Linked DNA regions of Sus scrofa. The protein of the gene in region 1 purifies or fractionates together with the protein of each later gene. This does not show direct contact. Links are inferred from orthologs where the notes say so. Each region holds a gene or a part of one and is shown in the gene's direction. Other genes may lie near its edges.

What was found.
Region 2: the proteins of SEC31A (region 1) and SCYL1 purify together in Homo sapiens (affinity purification with mass spectrometry; 3 studies listed by BioGRID and IntAct, counting the BioPlex papers as one, with this or other methods). This does not show direct contact. The link is inferred for Sus scrofa from reciprocal best matches to the Homo sapiens genes SEC31A and SCYL1.

The regions. Positions count from the first base shown.
Region 1 is NC_010450.4:135,466,344-135,470,150, forward strand, and holds part of SEC31A (protein transport protein Sec31A), read left to right. Parts: intron 1-1,575; coding exon 1,576-1,702; intron 1,703-2,514; coding exon 2,515-2,660; intron 2,661-3,807. UniProt on the Homo sapiens protein: Component of the coat protein complex II (COPII) which promotes the formation of transport vesicles from the endoplasmic reticulum (ER).
Region 2 is NC_010444.4:6,730,563-6,735,104, reverse strand, and holds the start of SCYL1 (N-terminal kinase-like protein), read left to right. Parts: upstream 1-1,627; 5' UTR 1,628-1,722; coding exon 1,723-1,833; intron 1,834-2,182; coding exon 2,183-2,323; intron 2,324-2,523; coding exon 2,524-2,646; intron 2,647-2,728; coding exon 2,729-2,955; intron 2,956-3,389; coding exon 3,390-3,480; intron 3,481-3,557; coding exon 3,558-3,713; intron 3,714-4,542. UniProt on the Homo sapiens protein: Regulates COPI-mediated retrograde protein traffic at the interface between the Golgi apparatus and the endoplasmic reticulum. Involved in the maintenance of the Golgi apparatus morphology.

The DNA.
Region 1 (3,807 bases):
TTAAAAATAAATAAACAGTAACATGTTATAGAAGCAATACGCTCTTGCTATAGATGATTGAAATGCAGAAAGCATTAAAGAACAAAAAAAACCCACCATAATTCAGTGGCCTATAAATAGTTATTGTTGATAGCTTGGCATGATTATCCCAGTTTTTGTTGTTTACATATATAATTTTCTAAGTGAAAAATACTTTTTTTTTGGGGGGGGGGCCACACCCACGGCATGTAGATGTTCCTAGGCCAGGGATGGAGCCTGTGCTGTAGTAGTAACCCAAGCTGCTGCAGTGACAGTGCTGGAGCCTTAGCCTGCCGCACAGCACGAGAACCCTGACTTTTCAGATTTTTACCATAGGAAGGGTGAAACATAGAAAATGTTAAAGTTTTTAATACCTCCTAAATCTTCCATCAGATTAGTACCTATTCTTTAATACCTCTTCCTATGTATTTGTAGACGTTTTAAAAACAGAATTAGGATTATATACAAGTATGTGGTTTTGCTTATAGATACTGTCACTTATGTTGTAATCATTTTCCCATATCATTAAAGTCTTACAAAAATATTTAATTGCTCTATAATCATCTACAGTAGGAATATATTATTTTTCTTATTTTAAGATGTTTAGATAATTTCTAACGTTTTCCTAATGCAGTTGAGACAGTGGTAAACATCCTTATTGCACCTAAAAATTTGTGCACATTTCTAACTGTTTAATGAGGCTGTCGTGTTAGGAACGGGATTTCTGGTGCGGAGGGTCTGTGCATTTCTAAGCCCCTGCTTGATGACTGCATGCCTTTGCGGCAGCCTCGTCCCGGCATCCGTCCCACCAGCGTTGGCTGCTCGCAGGCTCCGCAGCCGCGGCCCAGGTCACAGACTCCCGTGTTATGTGCGGGCTGCCTTTCTGTTCCTCTCCCGCACTCGCCATGCCTTTCTCTCTCGGGACTTTGCCCCTGGTGCTCCCTTGGCCAGGAGTGTTTTTTCTTCTTGCTGAAAGTAATTCTGACTTCATATCTCAAATATTTGTGTGCTCAGAAAATTTTTCCTAATCCATCAGACCAAGTCATGTCTTCCTGTTAAATGTTTTGGTAACACCCCATACTTTTCTGTCTCAGTTTTTATTTTGTTTTATTTTTGTCTTTTTAGGGCCGCACCCATGGCATGTGGAGGTTCCCAGGCTAGGGGTCTAATTGGAGCTGTAGCTGCCGGCCTACACCACAGCCACAGCAATGCCAGATCTGAGCCATGTCTGTGGCTCACGACAACACGGGATCCTTAACCCACTGATCCAGGCCAGGGATCGAGCCTGCACCCTCCTGGTTCCTAGTCGGATTCATCTCCACTGCACCATGACAGGAACTCCTGTCTCATATAAAATATGTTAGCATAAATTTTTTTTTGAGAAAAAAATAATACTGTCTTTTATGTCGGTTCAGGGATATACTTCACTTTGCTGCTCCTTTATTCTTCTCAAAATACTGTGAATAGTAGTTTTGAAAGTTTCGCTTGATGAGCCAGAGTTGATTTTTGTAAGTTACGCAAAGACTTCTGATTCTCCCTTCGTTTTCCTTTCCCAAGCTAATTACTGCAGTAGTCATGAAGGACTGGAAAGAGATTGTCGAGTCTTGTGACCTTAAAAATTGGAGAGAAGCTTTAGCTGCAGTATTGACTTATGCTAAACCAGATGAATTTTCAGCCCTTTGTGGTAAGAAAATGAGTTTTATATTTATATTACATATCTGACCAAGTATATTGGAAATAAAATTACAGATAGTTTTTTTTTAAAAATATTTGTAAACTCACTAATCACAGATAAGAAAATGAAGTTCTCATTTGAATGCTTTTCTCTGAATTTTTAACACCATTGCTTCTCTACCTACTAGTCATTATTTTTAATAGTATTATTTAAGGATTTTAATTTCAGACAGACCAGACTGAGACTCCTGCTTCCGCCATGTACTAGCTGTATAACCTAGAAAAAATTAATTTCTAAGCCTGAGACTATTCATATGTAAAATAGCATATCATCAGCTCTCACTTCATACATGTTAGCTTCATAAGATTAATAATTACAGCATTTCAGAAGAAATTACCATTAAAGGCCCTAACTAAACTGATAACTAAGGGATGATATTCATTAACCCCAAGAATAGAGGCTTCAGGCTGCTGGTATAAAAGCGAACAACCATTTGCTTCCTTGAAAGTATTATGGAAACAGAAAAATCACGAAGATGGTAACGTCATCGTCGTCAATAATCTAGAGTAGTCCTAGCTCTCATTGCTGGTTATTCCAAATGTGCCGTATTTTATTTCTTCCCCGGCTTTTACCAAAGCACTTGTACTCATTTCACAGGTAAGTATGCGCGGAAGGTTTATGTGACAGGGACTCTGTTTCTGCCTGCTCCTCGCTGGTTAGGAGGTTTGATCCGTTATTCTGAAACCATCGTTGATCTTCTCCTGATCTCATACACAGACTGCCGTGTGCGCCATCTTATTCGTTTTCCTTTTGATCCGTAGATCTGTTGGGAACCAGGCTGGAGAGCGAAGGTGATAGCCTCCTGCAGACGCAGGCGTGTCTCTGCTATATCTGTGCCGGGAACGTGGAGAAACTAGTTGCGTGTTGGACTAAAGCTCAAGACGGAAGCAACCCCTTGTCCCTTCAGGTCGGTATCTGGGAGACAAGAGATGCTTCTTTCCTAGTGTTGTCCTTCAGCCTGCTTATATTCTAGAAGGCGATTTGTTCTGGAAGTTCCTTCCTTTCACCTACTGAACACATCTTAGAAATTCTCTGGCTGGATAATTATGTGTGCTTGTTGCTGTATTTGGAGAGGCAGAGTTTGAGATGATGGGATGGTACAATGAGAATGCAGTTGTTTGTGAGAACACAGTTGAAATGTGCTAGTTTATTGGGGGAGGTAAATGGCAAGAGCATGAAGACAGCCCTGGAGCTTTACCCCTTCTCATGCCTCTTTCTCCGTCCTCCGTGATTGTGTCTGCCGTGGGCAAAGAAACAATATGGGACTTGCCGTGGGGGCTCAGCGGTAACAAGCTAGTATCCATGAGGACGTGGGTTCGATCCCTGGTCTCCCCCAGTGGGTTAAGGGTCTGGCGTTGCCGTGAGCTGTGGTGTGGGTCACAGACGAGGCTTGGATCCCGCGTTGCTGTGGCTCTGGCATGGGCCAGCGGCCCCAGCTTCAATTAGACCCCTAGCGTGGAAACCTCCATATGTTGCAGGTGCAGCCCTAAAAAAAAAATCGAGAAATTTCATTTTAATATTTCTTTTTCTCTCTACGAAGAGATCTTCTCAATAGGGTTGTTGTTTTAAAGATCACTGTTGAAACCAAAAATCTTGTAGGAATCAAGGTTTTCCTTCTAAGAGCTTCTGAGAGAAAACACTTGTTTCACGCTTCCGAGTTGGTGTGTTTATGAAGGGCGGATGGGATACGTTTCTCCTTTATACCTGAAGCACAGCGCCCCGTGGCTGAGAGGATAGGTAGTGAAGAGTAATATGAGAAACTTTGGGTTGAAACACCAAGCCTGTTTGGTATTTATATAACCTAGGAAAAATTGATTTCTAAGCCGTAGACTATTCTAAGCTGAAGGGCTATGAAGTTTTCCTCGGTTATATAGGAAACACCACCATCGTAGCACTGTTTTTTGGTAGTACTATTTTTATAGTATACACCGTGTAATGTTTCCTCTTACACCTGCTGGACCCCCGTTTCTGCCTTCAGACATCCGCCCGTCACTCTGGCTTTGGATTTTTGCCTGTTTTAGGTCACAAGACAAGTATCTGGCTATTGACGGATG
Region 2 (4,542 bases), on another chromosome or scaffold:
CCTGGGTTCCATGTGACCTTTTTTTGTTTTGTTTTGTTTTGTTTTGAATGAAATAAACTCCTCACATTTATTGAGCACTTTCAGTTGCAGGCCTTGTTCTGAGTATCTTGCATATAGAACCTCAGTCTCTTTCTTTTTTTAAAAAAACAGTACTGATGAAATTCTAGCACCAGGAGGTTTGTTTGTACAGACAAGGAAATAAGGCACAGAGAGGCCAAGTAACTTCCAAGTGGGTTACTGTGTGCAGAACTGCCTGATACAGTGTTTGACACATAGTGATGAACAAGTTTTAATTTCCTTTGTGTTTTGTTTTATTTTTTAAAATCTTTTTATTTTATTTTAATTACTCAAATGAATTTATTACATCTGTAGTTGTATAATGATCATAACAATTTGATTTCACAGGATTTCCATCCCACAGCCCAAGCACATCCCCTCACCCCCTAAACTGTCTCCTCCGAAGACGATAAGTTTTTCAATGTCTGTGAGTCAGCATCTGTTCTGCAAAGAAGTTCAGTCTGTCCTTTTTTCAGATTCCACATGTGAGTGAAAGCATTTGATGTTGGTGTCTCATTGTCTGGCTGACTTCACTTAGAATGATAGTTTCTAGGTCCATTCATGTTGCAAAAAATGCTGGTATTTCGTTCTTTTTAATGGCTGAGTAATATTCCATTGTGTATATGTACCACATCTTCTTGATCCACTCCTCTGTCGATGGACATTTAGCTTGTTTCCATGTTTTGGCTATTGTAAATAGTGTTGTAATGAACGTGACCTTACTTTTGGAGAAACCATTGCCAGCCCAGCCCCTCCTGGATGCTGGGCTCTGTCCAGCTAAGGAGCTGGGTCTCCTCCAGCATGAATGGCATTTGAGCTGTTGACACCATTCTGCCACTGACAGCCCCTATCTGCACAGGTGCTGGGGTCTGGAGGTGCTGACCCTGGAGACACAGAGCCAGTTCTACTGAGCCCAGGAGAGCAGGGGCCCCTCCTGGCCTCCTGGCTTCTTCTGAACTTGCTGGGCTGTTCCTCCTACCCTTCTTTCCTGGGGTCACTGCCTTTCCCCTCCCCAGGTCCCCTCTCCCTGTCTCAGGGTTCCTAGACCTCCTCAGGACCTTTGCTTCCCTCTCTGCCTCTCACCCACGCTCCTTCTCACCGGCTTTGCTTCCTTGTGCCTCTTCCCTGGTCACTCAGTCATTCCACCAACTTGATCCTCACCGCATCCTGGAGGTGCCCACTGGCTGGTGTGGGAGAGCGTCTGGTTTGGGGAGAGTCATCTTCTCTAAGTCTCTTCCTCACTCCTCACTGAACCCTGCACCCCTTCATGTCTGTCTCTCTGACGATTTCCTCTGGCGTCTCCCCATCTCCCCGCCTCCTTGTCTCCGTTTCCCTATCCTCTGTCCCTTCTCAGGCTTTCCACATTTTAGATATAAAGACACAGAGGCCCTGAGAGTTTGGGTGATCCGCCAGGGCAGGGGGTGAAGGAGGGTTGGTCTCCCCAGTACCTGCCGCCCTCGGATCCCCGCCCCGCCCACCAGCCCCGCCCCGCCCACCAGCCCCGCCCCCACGAGGCCCCGCCCACACAGACCCGCCCTCGCCACGGCCGACCCCGCCCCCGTCCCGCCCCCGCCCCGCCCCGCCCCGGCTCGGGCAGCGGGAGGACCCGGAGCTGAAGCGCCCGAGGCCGCGGCGGCGGCGGCGGCGGCGGCGGCGGCGGGGACGATGTGGTTCTTTGCTCGGGACCCGGTCCGGGATTTCCCGTTTGAGCTCAGCCCGGAACCTCCCGAGGGCAGCCCGCCCGGACCCTGGGCCCTGCACCGCGGCCGCAAGAAGGTGAGCGCGGCCCCGCTCCGCAGGCCTCGGCCGACCTCGGTCTCGCCTAGTCAGCGCCGCCGGCCCCGCCGCGTCGCGCCCCGCCTGACGTGGCTGCGGAGCCTCTAGGGCAACGGGCCGGGGGAGGGGGACGGGTAGTGCCGACGTGGCGGGCGGAAGGACCGAGGGACCAACAGGCGCACCCAACCGGGGTTACGTGGGCCCGACTCAGTCCCCAAGGGCTGTCCTGGGGGGAGACCCGGCCGGCGGGTCTTCCTTTCCGGTACTTAGCTCCGGGGACCATCTCGGAGATGGAGTGGTCAGCTTGGGGCTCGGCCCACACCCCTGAGGCCCCTCTGTTCTGCCCCAGGCCACAGGCAGCCCGGTGTCCATCTTCGTCTATGATGTGAAGCCCGGCGCCGAAGAGCAAACCCAGGTGGCCAAAGCCGCCTTCAAGCGCCTCAAAACTCTCCGGCACCCCAACATCCTGGCCTACATCGATGGGCTGGAGGTACCTACCGGCCGCTCAGTCTGCTCTGTCTCTGCCCCTCACTTTCTCCCAGTCTCCTGCTCCTGCCTTCCTGCCCCTTCCCAGCCCCCTGCCCCAGTAACCCCCAGATTTGACTTCCCCTTCTCCACCCGGTCCCCATCACGTCTCTCATCCCCCTGCTTCTTCTCCACTCTGCGCTGATACTCCACGTCCTTCTTCAGACAGAAAAATGCCTCCACGTGGTGACGGAGGCTGTGACCCCGCTGGCAGCGTACCTCAAGGCTCGAACAGAGACTGGTGATCTGAGGGAGATGGAGCTCTCCTGGGGGCTACACCAAATTGTGGTGAGGTGGGGGGGTAGTGGTGATGATTGCAGGGATGGGGGGGCTGCAGGTACAGGGCTGTGATGGCTCCTTCTGTCCCCAGAAAGCCCTCAGCTTCCTGGTCAACGACTGCAGCCTCATCCACAATAATGTCTGCATGGCCGCTGTGTTCGTGGACCGCGCTGGGGAGTGGAAGCTTGGGGGCCTGGACTACATGTATTCGGCGCAGGGCAATGGTGGGGGTCCTCCCCGCAAGGGGGTCCCCGAACTTGAGCAGTACGATCCCCCAGAGTTGGCCGATGGCAGTGGCAAAGCAGTCAGAGAGAAGTGGTGGGTGACTGGGGGCGGCATGCCCCAACCTGCCCTGTTCTGGAAGCCCCTGCAGCTTCGGGCCCCCTAGATTATATGTCACTCCCTTGTCCCTTGCTGCCCAGCTGGGAGGGGACCAGGGTCCTCAGGGTGGGCCCACTCCTTGCTCCGAGGATCCTCAGGGAAGTAGGGCAGGATAAACACAGACTTTGGGGTTAGGTGGTTCTGAATTTGAAAATTGTGTCACCCGGGGTGGGTGTCTTTGCTTCTCTGAGCCTCAGTTTCCTTATCTGTCAAATGGGGCTGATGAAACCTACTTCTCGGGGCTGATGGGAGGATGAGCTGAGGAACAGAGCACAGGGTCTGCCATGCAGTGAGTGCCTGGTGCTCAGCATAGGTTGGAGTTTTATGCTGGCAGGTGGCTGGGCCTTGAGCAGCTCTGGTCACTGCCTCAGGTCAGCCGACATGTGGCGCCTGGGCTGCCTCATCTGGGAAGTCTTCAATGGGCCCCTACCTCGTGCAGCCGCCCTGCGAAACCCTGGAAAGGTGAATATCTGACCCCACCCCAGCCCCTGTCCGCCAGCCAGGTGGCCCCTGCCCTGACCTTGCTGCTTCTCCCACAGATCCCCAAATCACTGGTGCCCCATTACTGTGAGCTGGTCGGAGCCAACCCCAAGGTTCGTCCCAACCCAGCCCGCTTCCTGCAGAACTGCCGGGCGCCTGGAGGCTTCATGAACAACCGCTTTGTGGAGACCAACCTCTTCCTGGAAGAGATTCAGGTGAGCCCCCTGCCCCACTGTGGGCTTTGGCCCGACGTTCTTCACCCAGTCTCCACCACCCACTTTTCAGGCCCCCTGAGAATTAGACCCTTGGAGATGAGCACAGACTGTAGAGCTAGGCTCTCTGTGCTTAAACCTTGGCTCCAACTGTTATTTATGTGTGACTTCCCTTGGCTGACACTCAGTCCCAATAATAGTACCTACTTCAAAGAAGTTTGGTGAGGAGTCAGTGAGTTTGAAGTGCGTGGTATAGTGCTTGGCCCCTAGTAGGAGCTTAGTGTCTGCTCCTGGCCCCCTGTTAACTGCACACTTACATTCTAGACCTGTCCTGATGCTGGGCTGTGGTGTGGGTAGCAGGGTGGGGAGGGAGAGTCAGGCTCAGACCCCTGCCCCCCAAGGATGATCCAGCTGAGGATAATTGGACCAGGCCTCCATCTCACTGGGAGAAAGGGACAGAAAACATAAAGGAAGAAACATGTGCTTCCTGGGATGGGGATAAGGCCAGGAGAGTGAGGGTGGGGTGCTCAGGGAAGGGCTCTCTTAGGGGTGATTTGAGCTGAGACCTGAAGAGTGTGAAGGTGGGAGGCACGGGGATGGTACCCGGGGAAGAATGTTCCAGGCAGAGGGAACAGCAAAAAATGGAAGATGGTGAGGAGGGAGCCCTCGGCCTAATCTCTTTGAACCTCCGTTTCCGTATCTGCATGACGAGGTTAACCGCAGTACCTGCTGACCACAGGGAGTGAGGGGGAGAGGCGCTGTCCCGCTGTCCCGGACACCTGCTCTCACCCAGCCTTGGTGCCTGAGAATCTGGAATAAAGGGCGGGGGCGG